2 linked regions of the Oreochromis niloticus genome follow. The protein of the gene in region 2 interacts with the protein of the main gene of each other region in a pairwise test. Links are inferred from orthologs where the notes say so. Each region holds a gene or a part of one and is shown on either strand. Other genes may lie near its edges.

What was found. The genes of interacting proteins can lie anywhere in the genome.
Region 1: the proteins of aagab (region 2) and ap2s1 interact in binary tests that used the Homo sapiens proteins (3 or more experiments, as listed by UniProt). The link is inferred for Oreochromis niloticus from reciprocal best matches to the Homo sapiens genes AAGAB and AP2S1.

What each region holds. Positions count from the first base shown.
Region 1 is NC_031979.2:22,060,277-22,067,904, reverse strand, and holds the start of ap2s1 (AP-2 complex subunit sigma), read right to left. Parts: upstream 3,060-7,628; 5' UTR 2,899-3,059; coding exon 2,896-2,898; intron 2,351-2,895; coding exon 2,201-2,350; intron 1,795-2,200; coding exon 1,681-1,794; intron 1-1,680. UniProt on the Homo sapiens protein: Component of the adaptor protein complex 2 (AP-2). Adaptor protein complexes function in protein transport via transport vesicles in different membrane traffic pathways.
Region 2 is NC_031972.2:51,480,444-51,487,915, reverse strand, and holds the start of aagab (alpha- and gamma-adaptin-binding protein p34), read right to left. Parts: upstream 3,109-7,472; 5' UTR 3,002-3,108; coding exon 2,908-3,001; intron 2,629-2,907; coding exon 2,438-2,628; intron 2,358-2,437; coding exon 2,261-2,357; intron 2,172-2,260; coding exon 2,082-2,171; intron 1,967-2,081; coding exon 1,883-1,966; intron 1,800-1,882; coding exon 1,720-1,799; intron 1,551-1,719; coding exon 1,454-1,550; intron 1,320-1,453; coding exon 1,215-1,319; intron 1-1,214. Other genes in the region: iqch (IQ motif-containing protein H), read left to right, coding at 3,659-3,709, 3,815-3,910, 4,016-4,107, 4,238-4,313, 5,221-5,322, 7,119-7,221. UniProt on the Homo sapiens protein: May be involved in endocytic recycling of growth factor receptors such as EGFR.

The sequences.
Region 1 (7,628 bases), on a different chromosome or scaffold from region 2:
GCTTTCCCTATTTGTATTTCAGATCTAGGATATCAAGAACCAGAAGACTCCAGAGGGGTATTTCTTTATTTGGGGATCTTGGAGGAACCTTTTTGAGTAGGGGAGGTGGTACACCCATCTGCAACCTCTACTTCTCTTGCAGTGACAGTGGCCAACTGTCTACACCTGACGAGATTGGATAAAGCCATGCCTGAGGTTGGCTTAGGAGGATGGCACTTCTTGTCTTTATGCTCTCTGGCCTTTCATTTTTCGCTGAAATTTTAAGTACTTTAAAATAAAACCAGTGTTTTTAGAAACTGTGGTATCAGTCTTCATGCTGTGACTTTTGAGCCAAGTCATAAAATAGTGTAATGCTGCCTTTTGGCACTGCAGTGTATCTATGTGGCAAGGCGTTATCAAATCTATCAATATTTTAACGATAACATTTTTTTCCAGCATGGCATAACACTAACACTAGTCAAAAATGATACACCCAAGACTGTAAAATGAATGTGACGTAAACATAGCTTTAATGGGTTCTGGAATTTGTACTGAAATACAGTCATGCTAAAAGATTAAACTATAGATACAAGCTGTGGTATGAGCTTCAGCTAAATCAGATTTATAGAAAATAATCTGACTTCACTAAAAACTATGAATAAGTTAGACTTTTAAAAATGCAGAAATTCAGGTAGCACTTTATTCTGAATTTAAAGCATCGTTTATACCTGAGTTATTTGAAATCCAAAATGGCGTTCACAATTGGAAAACAATATTATAATAATGTAAACTAAATGATGTGCTCTTCAGAAAGGAACAGATAAAAAAGAAAACATATCATCTTTTAAAATTGGACATATGTATGCCATGGAAGAAAGGGTTTATATCTGCATAACTACATTTGATCTTTCAGTTTGAATTTCACAGGTTAAATTATTTTATAGATACGTGCCTACTGGGAATATGCTTCAAAAATAGGGCATTCTATAGTATAATGTTGTAGTTCTATAGTCTTATACAGATTTTATCAGCAGGAAGTCAGATCACAGCATAATGGATCTCTGCTACCGATTCAGTTTTTACAATTGTCCTCTATTAAGTGGAAGGTAAATACTTGAATAACAGTATCATTATGTGGGCAGGGGAAATATATCAAAATAAAGATATTTTTAAGAATAAATGGCAGAATTGACTAGCTGAATATGGGATGCTTTGAGCCAGGGTGAAAACTGTGAATACCAGTGGAGACTGATGAAAGAGGCAATAGGGGAGTTTGTTTTTCTTCCTGTTCTCTCTGTTATGTAAAGATGAAAAAATAATATTGAAATACATGTGCATTTAGCTATAAATGCACATATATTTCAATATAGGTTGGTAACTAATATGTGGATTGTGTTTAGCTGTACAGAATAATGCTTAAGTAATTTATTTTCTTTCTTTTCTTTTCCTCTGCTTCTTTGTAATCCAGCTTTTATTTTATTATTTTTTTTTACTTTTTCACTTCAACTTCAAGATTTTTTACTACATATAATTTTACTGCAATCCTTACAACCCAGAGAAGTTCTAAAGGAGCTCCACGCCAGTGAAGAATGATAGCCTCTGAACAAAATCATTGAGAGATATTCTTGAAAACCATCAGACCATGACAACTAAATTATCATAGCTCACTTACTAGGTCTATATACTGTGTGTTTCATTTACCTCTACGAAGTTGTGGATTCCCTCGAGGTATGCCAAGTTATTATCAGTCACGTCCACACAAATACAGAAGTACAGACCAGCATAACGTCTGTAAATGATCTTGAAGTTCCTGAACTGTGAGAACAACAGAAAAATCCTCTTAAGAGCTTAATCTCGCATATTGTGACAACAGCAGCAGATTTACCAGGGCTGAAGCTCCCACGGTAAGGTAAAACACACCCAGCATGCATACATTCATACTGATTTTTTTTTTAATAGCATTAAAAACCTGATCCACAAAACGGGTTCTCTTTTCTTTTGATGTTGTATTCCACTAGAATTTCATTCAGTTATGCATATAACATTAAAAAAAAAAAAACATGCTAAGAGATAATGCCTGCAATATCTATACACCGAAGGAGCTGAGCCAGCTGTGTCATTATACAGGATTAGAGAAAAGAGGTTGTTGCTGTTCTAGCATGTCAAAGAATCATTTTAAAAAAGAAAATGTGGGTACATGTGGCACTGCCAAATCCCATACCTCCACAAAGTTGGTGTGCTTGGCATCTCTGACAGTAACGACAGCATGCACTTCTTCAATCAACTTCTGTTTCTCATCATCATCAAACTGCATGTACCATTTGGCCAGTCGTGTCTTTCCCGCTCGGTTCTGGATGAGGATAAAGCGGATCTGTAAGAAACAAGACAAAAAAAATAAATAAATGAGGCATTCTTTACTTGTCCTGAACAAGTAAGCAGTTTGATACTGACAGAATTATGAAACTCCCAAAAATGACTCACTAGCAACACACAATATAATCTTACTTTGCCTATTAGTAGCTGTCGTACACATGATAACTTTGGAGATACTTACCATTTAGGCATCCAACTATTTTAATATGTAAGAGAAATTACAAGTAACTGTAGCTACCCTTAGCTTATCTACAGCTTATCGACAGTTAAACATAGTGTTAGCTAAACCACACCCATTCATTTTGACAGCATCATTTTTCGGAGAACTCGGCAAGGTAAAAACGATCTATTTCAGTAAACTGATAGTTGATCTGTTTGGTAAAACATCTTGATTTTAAATTGTTGGCGTCCCAGTTAGCTTATCGTTTTCTACTCACTGAATGGAATAGCCGATCTGGCGAACTCTCAGATGCTAGCAACCAAACGACAAATGTTCCTGACATGAGAAGAAAATACAACATAGTTCGTTTGAGACATATTTACCATTTTCGCCTCCCAAATATGGACCTTAGAGACTCCAAAGCAGCAGGTTCCCAAGCAAGTGTGCAATAATTTTCACATTAATACATCGATATTTTATGACCGCTCGTCCGCTATCTTCTCCAAGCTAATAGGAAGTGGCAAAACTATGGCTGCGTCACGTTGCATGATGGGATTGTAGTTTTTGTTGTTACATTTAGAAGCAATGGGTTTTAATATAGAACTACAACAACCAACATCACTGTGTGGCGTCTCGTATTGAGTCGTGCAGTGGATCACATGAGAAGCAAAGAGCCCATCTCTCTAAATATTTTTGTCGTTTTTCGTGTTTGTTTCAGGTTTTATTCTTTTCTGAAAGAACTACCGGAAGCACTTCCTGTGGAATAATTTCATAAGTATTGCATTCCACTTGTTATCTATTTTTATAGTATCCTAATACTATAAACTTGATTAAAAAAATATGTCACTCTTCTCTTGGGCAATTTCCTGTCAGTTCTTAGACTGGTTAACACTTCTTCTTCTTTTGGCTGCTCCCTTTAAGGGTCGCCATAGTGAATCAATTTCCCTTCATCTCCTATCTCCCTTGCCTAGCATACTCCTCTGTCACACCAGTCCTCTGTATGTCCTCCTTTACTACATCCATTAACCTTCTCGATGATCTTCCTGTTGTCTGCCTACCTGGCAGCTTCATATTTAACAACCTTTCTTGAATATATCAGCTATCCCTCCGCCTCACATGTCCAAAACATCACAGCCTTGGCTCTCTAACTTTGTCTCCAAAGCACTTCACCTGAGCTGTCCCTCTGATATACTGATTTCCTATCCTGTTCCTCCTGGTCCCACTCCCAGTGAAAATCTGAGGATGTTCAACTCTAACTCCTGTCTTTTTGTAAGGGCCACCATCTCTAAACCATACATCTATATCTTCCCTTTCACTCTTGCCGCTATCCATCTGTGAGAAATCACCCCTGGCACTCGTCTTCACCCACTCCACCCTGCCTGCACTCTCTTCTTCTTCTCTATTGTGCAATGTCTGTCACCTTCACTGTTAAATCGGTCTCCGTCTCATTCACACGTCTATTCTGTCTGGCTTCTATTGACTTTCATTCCTCTTCTCTACAGAGGATACCTCCACTTCTCCAGGCTCTCTTCCACGTGCTGCCTGATCTCACTACAGATCACATCATCATAGTCCAAAGAGACTTTTGTCTGCTCTATTTGTTTATACACATGGTGAAAATTGCTCACATACAGACTTACTAAATGTAAAAAAGTCCCCAAACATGATAGTGTATTTGTCACATACACAGTTAATCAAACTGATAGTTTTATTTATATCCACTTAATTATATTAGATTATTGCGTATAATTAGCATAAAGACGTATGAACAAAAAGGAAGATTTGTAGAATACAAAAGATTTATACCGAAACTCATTACAGGCTGAAAAGCAGCAATAGCCTATATAACTTATTTGCAGCCCCTTGAGGTTACATTATTTTTGGAGGTTGTTTTCTGCAGAGTCAGAGTTTGTTTACTGGTGTGCTTGGGCAGCCAGTTCACCGCAGAACATTGCCCAGACAGCTTGGACAGCTTGCCTCTGTTCTGGGTGTTTAGGGAGTCAGAGGTGGGGGGGATGGGGGACTGTGATTGTCAGGGATTGCACAACTGTGAGTGGAGGAATGCGCTGCCCTTGGGACTGAGACATATTTTAGCTGCAGATACAACGAGGACTGAAAGTGGGATGGAAAAAATAATAATAAAATGAAAGAGGAAACAAACCAGTGATTAAACAAAAAGTGCAGTGTTTTTCTTCCGTATAATGCTTGCAGCTGTGTTTTGATACTGCCGCGTATTTTAGAGTAAAATAAAAATAAAATTTGCCATGGTGGTTATATAAGAATTATACGCATAAACAGCACTGCATAGCAATGTTTTGTGATAGTCGCAAGACCTTGGCCTGTTTTAAAAACAAGTGGAGGTAGGCGAAAGGGATGTAAAACAGAGGCACATTATTCAACACACACTTTGACCCCAGCTAATCTTGGTTTGTGTGATTGGGGTCATGCAAATATTGCTGAGAACCTAGTGAGTAATGCAATGGGACAGAAGCGTGTGGACTTACTCAAACAGAGGACAGTGCACCTTGAACCCTGTTTGACTGTGTATTTAATGGTGGGTCACAATTCAAGCTTGTCAGAACACACATAGTGCACATTATGTACTTCAATTTAATAACTTATGTAAGAACAACATAATTTCTTTCCTATTTTTTTTTTATTACAAATGATTTTCTGCTATGTTTTGATTCTGCTATCCAACACTCCAGGAGGTTGAATACAGTAATAAACCTTTAAACACGATGGCTCTATTGTTTACAATGGTTTAGTCTTAAATATCCCCTAAAGTGCCAAATTCCAGTTCAAAACAATAAATTGAGTTCTACGGCCACACAAACTATTTGTTTTCATATCACACAGAGTTTAGATTACCAGATCGGAATTGCATGTTCTTGAGAGTTCAAGGAAGGACTAACAGGGAGAGAGAGGAAGCGAGTGAATGAGAGAGAGAGAGAGAAAGAATTTCAAGAGAGGGTCTCACTGCTAGACACTAAACATCTGTTTGAGCTATTAGTACAGGCTGTTGTCTTGTACAACACTGCAGATATTTCTCCAATGTATCTCAACTCTCTGCCTTAAAAGCGTAATTTTTTAAATGGCTTTAATCAAAGTAGAAAACACTTCGCAATAACTCTTGACGAGCACATAACTCAGTGAACAACACTTATAATTAGGACTAACCTTTAAGATGATTAATTTTTCTCAGGAAAGGCATTAAACATTTCCTCTCTCTGCTGTTCAATAACAGTTTAGGTGGAAGTCCTTGGGTGAATGCACAACAAATCTATCACAAATGATTCAGCCATTAACTATTTAAATCTATTAAGCAACAGTTCTGTGCAAAAGTCCTCAGCCAATCATCAATGCTAAGTGAACCACTTAGTATTGACCTATGAATCATTCAACCATAAAAAAGGAACCTAACTCAAAAGATGAACCACACCTGGTTTTCTACACATAGCAGATATCAGAAAAATTAACAAAGAGACTAATTAAATTTGTTTCTTTAGACACTTTTGTTACTAGCAGTCTGTCACAATCAAATCATTTTGTAATTAGTTCCTCTCTTGATAAGGTGGCTGTCAAGAAGCCATTCCTAAGGAAAGGGAACAAGAAGAAAAGATCAGTGGCAACAGGAGTGACGGATCCACATTTGAAGTTTTTCTCAGTTGAAATCATCATCAGTATGTGTAGAGGAGATCAGGGCAGGGGTAAAACAGGGAGTGTCTAGAGTCATCAGCAAAACATGGTAGAGTGTTTGCCATGGTTTGGGTCTGCAGTTCAGCGGCAGTGGTGTGAGGGATCTGATGGGAACTGATGAAATCCTGAATACAGAAATATAGAGTCAAATTTTGATCCATCATCAAAATACCATCCCATTAGCATCAGCTTCATTTTAAAGCATGACTATGACCTCAAACACACTTCCAGTGCAGTCAAAGGATACCTAAATTAAAAAAACACATATGGGAACTTTACTGACGTAGCTCATTAGAATAGTTCAAACTTTGTTTTTGCCTTATATACTGTATTTTCACATATCCTTACAGATGTTTCAATAAATCGCTGCACCTATTTCCATTTTCCTGGGAAAATATAAAGAAACGAATGGGTTATTCAAGACCTTTGCATAGTGTTGTATAACTAATGCTTGAATCTGTCCGGGGAAATGGTGGTCAGTTTTGCAAGGAAGTGGTATGGGAGCCGTGGGGGCCATGAACGCAAATGGGCCAAAATAAAATAAATTAATCACAGTCATGATAACATAAACACATTTCTTTTTTTATGCTTAGAAATAATAAATAACAGTTTCATGTTTAACAGTAACCCAAGATGAGGCATTAAAGACATTAGCCCCACTTTGATACAACTCACAAATAAGTCCATGTTGTACAACGGAGCTAGTTTGCTGTTCTTCAATTTAAAATAAAAGAAAGAGCTATAAAGAAACGAAACTGGAAAGTAATAGAAATAGTTAAAGTAACTAGAAGTAGCTGGTTGCTAGCTAAAGCATAGTCACCCTTTGTTTGCATGTGTGTGTTTTTTGTTGTTTCGAATATTTTCAAATATTTCTTTTTAATTTCTAATGTATTCAGCATGTTATATGCCAACTATTTTCTTTTAGTTTAAATATACATACGTATGGAAGAGTATTATGATGGCTCATTTGAAATAAATTCACTGTTGTTCTCGGCTTACTAGTCACCATTAGCTACGCCTTAATAGTGTGGCGGTGAGCAGCGTATCATAAACAGTCTGCGTTTGTTGTAATTGTGTATATTTACCGCTGGGCGAGAGTGTCTCTCTGTGAAGAGCATGCCGCCATTACTGGGAAGCTGGGGGAAAAAATAGACTTAAACACAACGTCACACATTTATCCTGCAAGGGGCTTAACATCAGAAAGGGAAAAAAACACACACACACACACAAGGCTTTCGTACGAACTGTTGTACTCTTCCAACAGCGGCGCTTTTTTGTAAATCAAGGCTGATCCTTGTGGTCGCGTTTCCTGCGGACTCTTTTTTTTTGTAAATTTTTGACACAACAAAGGAAATAATAATTGGTCAAAACAACGTGGTGGTGAACCAAGAAGGGAAAACACACCGAAACAGCGCTT
Region 2 (7,472 bases):
CTTGAAAGCAAGACTAGAGTTTTTGTGCAATGTAAGTATTCCAAAATCTTTGTGCTCTCAGAAATCCTGAAGGTAACTAGCTTGTCTGTGCTTTGGCTTGTTCATAGTTATTGTTCTGGAAACTCGGGAAATGCACATTTCAAGACTTGATACATATTCTGACTCCTAAAATATTATTCCTGCAATAATCAGTCATTGGGTCCTCTACTAAGTAAGAGCCTTTTCTTTTGAAGATTAAAAAATTGTGGGCCCACAATTCAGGATATGGCTTTAAGAAGGCCTTTACTCAGCTGGAAGTGGAATTAATGGAACTGATTTACTGTAATTAACAAGAAAGGAGGGATATCAAAGTGATGTCTGGAAAACAAAAAACAAAAAAGTTTTTAAGGAGATCTACTCATTAGATTGCTAGAATCAAAACCCTATGATGAAAACAAAGGAACTTCAGGAAAATTGAGCAGACTGTGCTTTAATCTACTTGTACAACCATGACCTTCGTGGAAGAGATAATTAAAAGCATCAGAAGTTTTCAAATGATCATCTAAATAAACCTAATGATCTCTTTAACTGTTAAGCATATGGGTGGATGGCTTGTGTTACAGCCATTGGCACAAGATAGAGGGAAGAATAGATTTAATTATACACCACAAATTCTGCACTGCAGTGTCTGCAAAAAAAAGTCCAAGATAAAAAAAGATGATGTGTTTAACAACATTTTAACAATCCGAAAAACACCTCAACCCAACAATGGCTACTGACAGACAAACACTGAAGATTTGTCAGTGGTTCTTGAAATTTTCTGAGCTAAACATCTTCAACAGTTGATGGAGTTAAAAGAAGCTGTGCAGGACGGAAGAAAGATCTGACAAAACTGAAAGAAGTTTGCAAAGAAAGGGTGAAAATCCAGCAAACAAGAATGGTAAGATGTGTTGCTTACAAAGTACTGACCATGGGGGCTTAAACTTTTTATCATAATCACTTTCTTTTTATTAGTTAGGGTAATCATCTGAAATGCATCAAACTCTTTTGAAAATATAATGGAAAAAAAAAGCTAAATACATTAAAGATGCTCACTTAGCTATTCAAAGTGAGACAAATGTCTCTACTCTATAGAAAATATTTAACCTCCACAGGGACAACATACCTTTAAATAAAAAAAAGAAAGAAAGAAAAAACAAGATTTGCATATCTTTTTTTAAAATTCCCCCATTTACCTTTCATCTCCTTTAATTTGGTAAAAAGGCGTTCAAAGTTATCAACATCTACATCTCCAGTTGTGAGGTTAGCGAGCTCCTGAATGTCCAAATCAGTCATTGCATCTGAGGGAGATCAAAAAAATGTGCTGTATGTTTATACACATAACTAACAGTGGCAGCAGTAGTATTTTGAGAAATCTGAGAAAAATTGATTCACAACTTAGTAAAAAATATTCTATCACAAGGCATTCGCTTACCAACTACTGCCTCTTCCTGTGTGTCTGTGTTTGTAGTACTTTCTGTATGGTTAGGCTCCTCATTGTTAACGGTGCCCTCTACTGGTAAGCTGGAAGACTACCAAAGAAACAAAACAGCTTGGATCAGCATGCCTCCACAAAAACAACTTTAAAAACAACATAAATTGAAATTGTATTGATTCAAGCAAGCCAGCAAGAAAACGCATTAAAAACACTATTAAAACCTAAATAAATCGATCAATATCAAAAAAGGAAAATGCACTGACTGGTGGATCTTGGCAGGTGCGTGGGTTGTTATGTCTGGAAGCCACCAAACTGCTCATCAGACCAAAGCCCTGATTGTGCCCTGTTACGAGATGTAAACTGTCACATGCCATACATGCATACACAGAGTATGTAGTAGTTAAATAAAAGGTTATGTCATCTTACCATCCTTCATTTCCACACTGGACCACACATTTGCATTGAGAGCCTGAACAATTCTCTTTACTCCTGTGGATTCTGGAAAGTCGTCTGATAGGGGAAACAGAATAGTGTGAATGCGGGTGAAAAAATTATCAAAACACAAAGAATTGAGATATAAATCTGGGTGGTGTCACTGCTCATTTCTTCCATTTGAGAAACTCACCATCCTCATCTGGGAGCTCCTGAGGATTGAGTTCTACAAGCTCAAACGCATGAGCCAAACACCACTGCTGCGCTTCATGTCTGGTGACTCCTACAACATAAATTAGAAGTTGTATCCCCCACAACTTGTATGTAAGACAGTGTTTTCTGCAAGCCACATGCAGAGCAGAAAAAACTGACCATTTTCACAGACTCTGTCACAGACCAGGATGAGCACCTCTGGCGCAAGATCTTCCACTACCGGTATCCAAGGTTGTAGCTTTTGCAGCCCATCTTTCTGCAAACATAATGGATGATATAAAGGCATGAAGAAACGTGCTGTTTAGACTTATAAATATAACTTCTTATGTCACATACCGCTTTGCTGTCAAAATAAGCGATGAAAGCTTGCATGGACTGGGCAATCTCTGACGACATGTGAAACGTGCTTGAGACAACACACAGATTTACATCTGCCGTATAATACTTGTTGTTGATGGTCCAAGGGTACCAGACCACTGTTTCCTCTCGCTTTGTCGGCTCGGGTAAAGTCTTCGTACTGAGGATTTCTGAGACAAAAACAAATCTGTTGATCTACATGAACAAAGACGTCAAGCTAAGCTTCTCACGGTGAAAGCTCAAGCTACAGGAATTGCATTACCCTTAATTAGCATTACCATATCGGTTGTATATCAGCTTGGCGAAAGTAAAGAACATAAAATGGCTTAAACGCATAAAACGCTATTAACCCGACAAAAATACATAAAAGGGCTTCCAGATGCTATCGCTTAGTTAGCTCTGTTTAACGTTAGCTTCCTTACTATTATGTTATTTTCACCTTAACTTACGTTTGATTAGTTCTTCTTCTTTAAACTCGCTGTCACAGCTAGTGACAAGCACACACGGGGTGGCCATTTCTGTATTTTCTTCTGAAGCTGACATTTTAATTATAAATGAAAGAGAAAGCTTCTTCAGCTATTAGCTTAGCGTTACGATGGAAAACTTGGGAGACCTTTCAACTCTGACCAGCCTCTTCCGGTGCACGTTAAACAGTCTGGTGACGTTTAATTGTAAAAATGTTTTTCTATCCATCTATTGTAATTGAAACTAAGTAATAATAATGATGATGATAATAATAATAATAATAATTATTATTATTATTATTATTATTATTATTATTTAAAAAGCAAAAACAAAAAATTGCAGTCTGCGTTTATGAAACTTTTATGTGAAGTGAGGGACACAGAATTTTAACCCTGTTTTGTCCCTTTCAGACAAAGCAACCACTCCTCCAAACAAATCTAACATCAGCTGATATGTTTTAGAAGGTGATTAAAGTAAAGGCCATGGTTATGTGGCAATGGGATGGTAGTATTGGGATAAACAATTATGTACTTAGACGTGACCCTTATATGCCTGACTGTCAAACTCCGGAAAGAAATGAGCTGCATGGTGTCTCGTCGTCAAGGTTACGTGTACCGAATCAGAAACTTTCACTGGTGACAAGCCAATTGTTTCGCTAACAGTGGGTAACTAGTACAGTTCGCCATTATGCTGTATATATTTCAGTTACAAACCCATAAATAATGATGAAAAAAAATGTCCGACGTGGTTAAGAAGGAAGACAAGTCGGGAGCTGTTTCGGTTCGGGTAAAGTTTCCTTGACTTATCTTGCCTTTAGCTAAATCATCAAACTCGTGTGTGCTGTTTTTAGGTCATTTTCTGGAGTATTTACATTTTATGACTGTATTGCAGGTTGAAGACGATTTAAGACAACTCAAACCTAGTCTTGAGAAAGTGATTGTCAGTGAGGGGAGGACAACACTGAACATTCAGGCCCTGAACATCAGGGTGAGAAATCTTCACGCACAGTAGCATTTATATTAAATAAAGAGACTTAAGTCAAACATAGTACACGTAAAAACCGACAGTTAATAAGTTCTTGACTGTCTGTAGAAACATGCAGAGGATTGTTTGAAAACAGTGAATAAGCAGCAGCTGATTCTTCCACCCATTGGCGATTTACAACAAAAGACTCTTTCTAAATGGTAAGTAGTATTTTTAGTGGGAATATTTTGCTCAACCATTACCTTTTTGCAAATTTGATTAAATATGTTTAGAATTGTTATGAATTCTAGTTAATTGGGATTGTGAGTCTGAAAGAAAGTCTTTACACAGGACTCCTTGTCTGGAGAAAATCTCAGATGTGAAGAAACAGAGAGAAACCCTTCCAGGAGCTCCAGCAGGGGAACAGGTAGATTATTATGCGTATTCAGAAACTTTAAAGGGTAATAAATGACCTTTTTTCAATTAAAGAGGGTGTGTACAAGCTAAAACACGTGCAGTACGATAGGCAAGGTAAAAGTGGGCAAGAATTGATACCTTTTTTGTTTAGCAAAAATCCTAACTATTTACACGCTCATTGGAAAAATTATTAGGTACACCTGTTTGCATTAACAGCATGTAATGCAAATATCAATAGGCCAATCACATGGCAGTAACTTGGTGCATTCAGGAATGTACAAAAATCACCTGCTGAAGTTCAAACTGGGCGTCAGAATGGGCAAGATGATTTTAGTAACTCTGGACGTAGCATTGTTGGTGCCAGGCGGTCTGTTCTGAGTATTTCACAAATTGCTAGTTTACTGGGATTTTCCTGCACAACCATCTCTATAAGGTATACAGAGGATTGTCTGAAGGAGAGAAAATATACAGTGAGCGACAGTTCTCTGGATCAGAGAATAGCCAGACTCCTTTGAGTTGATCCATCCCTTTATGGCTACAGTGTAACCATCTTCAGATGGCTGCTTCCAGCAGGATTATGCACCATGTCACAAAGATCGTTTATTTCAAAGTGGTTTCTTGAACATGACAATGAGTTCACCGTACTCGAATGGCCTCAACAGTCACACGATCTTAAACAGAGCACCTCTGGGATGCAACAGATCTGTATCAGTAGCATGATACTGTCATGTCAATATGTACCAAAGTCTCTCAGGAATGTTTACAGCCCCTCGATGAAACTTGTGCCATTAAGAATTAAGGCAGCTATGATTCAAAAGGGGGTTCAACCTGGTACTGATGAGGTATACCCAATGAATAGACTAATGAGAGTGCATCTTCTATTACAATTTCTGAATTTTTTCCTTTCTCTGTTTCAGGACAAGTTAGCATTGAACATGTGTTTGCCAAACAAAAGATCCATTAGGCATCAGAAATCTGTGAAATCACTTACTGATACTCACAGGAAGAGAGCAAATGAGGTAAGTAATATTCCATAAATGTAGAATAACCTAATGTTTGCTGTACTTTGCTATCACGCATGATTTCTGTAGAAACTACACCTTACAGAAAGTCATAGTTTCTTTCAAATGAAGTATAAACGTGGTATTACATTTACTGATCATATACATTATGTTATAACATAAACAACTCTTAATGCAGTTATTCTTATTGTGATGTATTATTTACCACAGGTGGGTCTAAAATAAACCCTGTGAACTTGCCACTTTAGTCAGCTTTTCTCTGGAGCCTTTGACTCTCTTTATGATGTCGACAGTTGTTTTTTTCTCCAAAAATTATGTGCTACAGTTTGTCGGATTGAATACTCTACACAAAGTAGGTGACAGATAATTTGCAGTGGCTTTGTAAAACGGTACCACAAAAGAGAATTTAGACTTTTCATTTGTTGCAGAAATAAGGCTGCATGTTTTCTAATTATATTTTATATGTTTTCATGGGGCATTTCAGTCTTACCGCTGGAAAGGACACCAATCACTGCATGAAGTCTTGGCTATAATCATAGATTTGTCAGAGTTTAATCATGAAATAATAATTATTTCCTCCGGGTATTTACTTTGTACAGTGAGAAAAGTTTCTGCTGCACCTGTGGTGAATTAGATATCATTGTTCTTTTCCCTGATACTTACTCTCTAATCCTTCCAATAGACAGTGTGTGCTGGAGTGAAGAGTGATGGTAGTGTTCTGTATTAATAGATGCCTCAAGTCTCATGTTCAGACAGTCTGTGACGTAAAGGTCACTTGGCTTAGGGATGACATCCAGCACTTGTCACAGCAAACAAATTAATCTTTGCAAAGGTCGGCATTAGTTTTAGATCTATTTTACACACTTTTCTGATATGTTTTTGGGAATCTCTACCTGACACGAGAAACATAGGCCAAGACTGTCACTCTGATATAGGAGAGATGGAATTGCTGGCTGCAGAAAGCGGAAAGCAGCAGATTGCAGCACATCAGCATTCTTCTAAAGAAACAGGCGCCTGATTGCTGTGCTATGGGCTACTGGTTTACAGCTGTCTCAAGACAGAAGTGGATACCTGGTCCAGCATGCCAATAAGACAGCCGTAGCTTCCCCAACTGCTAACCACTGGCTCTCTGCCTGCTACCATCTCCTGCAACTCAGGCCAGCTCTTTTTCTCTCCATACCCATGCCAGGCAATGAGCGTTTGCATTTTAGCAATTTTACAAAGGGTGCCACCTTTTTCCCAGCCTCATCTGAAACAGATGTGTGCCTTTGAGGGGAGAATCTCACTGCACCTGGCTGCTACCTGTGGTCTGTCAAAGAGCTCAGTGGTCTGAGAAGAACAAAAGAAAGGACATTAGGTGACAAATCGGGAGGAGCACAAACTTTCTGTTTCTGTTTTCTGAGTTGTGAAATGTTTAAATGTAGTCACAAGAAATTCATACTGAAATTAGGCCAATAAATCTTGTTTTATTGTTATTGTGATCCAGTGTTATGAATTAAAATGTTTAAGGTTAGCAGATTTGAATAGCTATGATTGATAGTGAGTTACAGCGAAGGTCCTATTGCCAGTGGCACTTTTCTAAATTCTTAATGAATGCAGAAAACCTGTTGTTTCTGATAAAGCATGCTATCCTGAACCGCTTGTTTATACTTATTCCCCTAGAAAATGTTTTCATGTCTAATGGGACAAATGAGTTTTAGTGTGGATAGCAGCAGGTAATGTCAGGCAGCGTTTTGTTGGTTGTGTTTACATCTGATGTACAGTCACTGATGTTACGAAAATCTTCTGTTCAGGCAAAAGGTGACAGGATAATCTCTGGCTCTGTGGTGAATCTTCAAGCAGCTGAATCAAAGGGCCATCACATCCTGGTAGTCCCCAAAGAAGACTTTGGGACAGGTTAGCAGCATTTCACCACCCCTACACCATCACCTCATCTGTTATACTCCAGACAAACATCCGTTGACATTCTGTGTTTGCTTAATGTTTGTGGGAACTTTGATCAAGTCAGTAATTCCACAATACTTTATAGTGTCAAACTCCAAATCATATAAATTGTTATATTAAGTTAGTAGTATTAAGTTTCCATACTATTATATATTTTTTTAATCCTGGGAGGGGATGAACGAGGACAAGCACAATGTCATTAT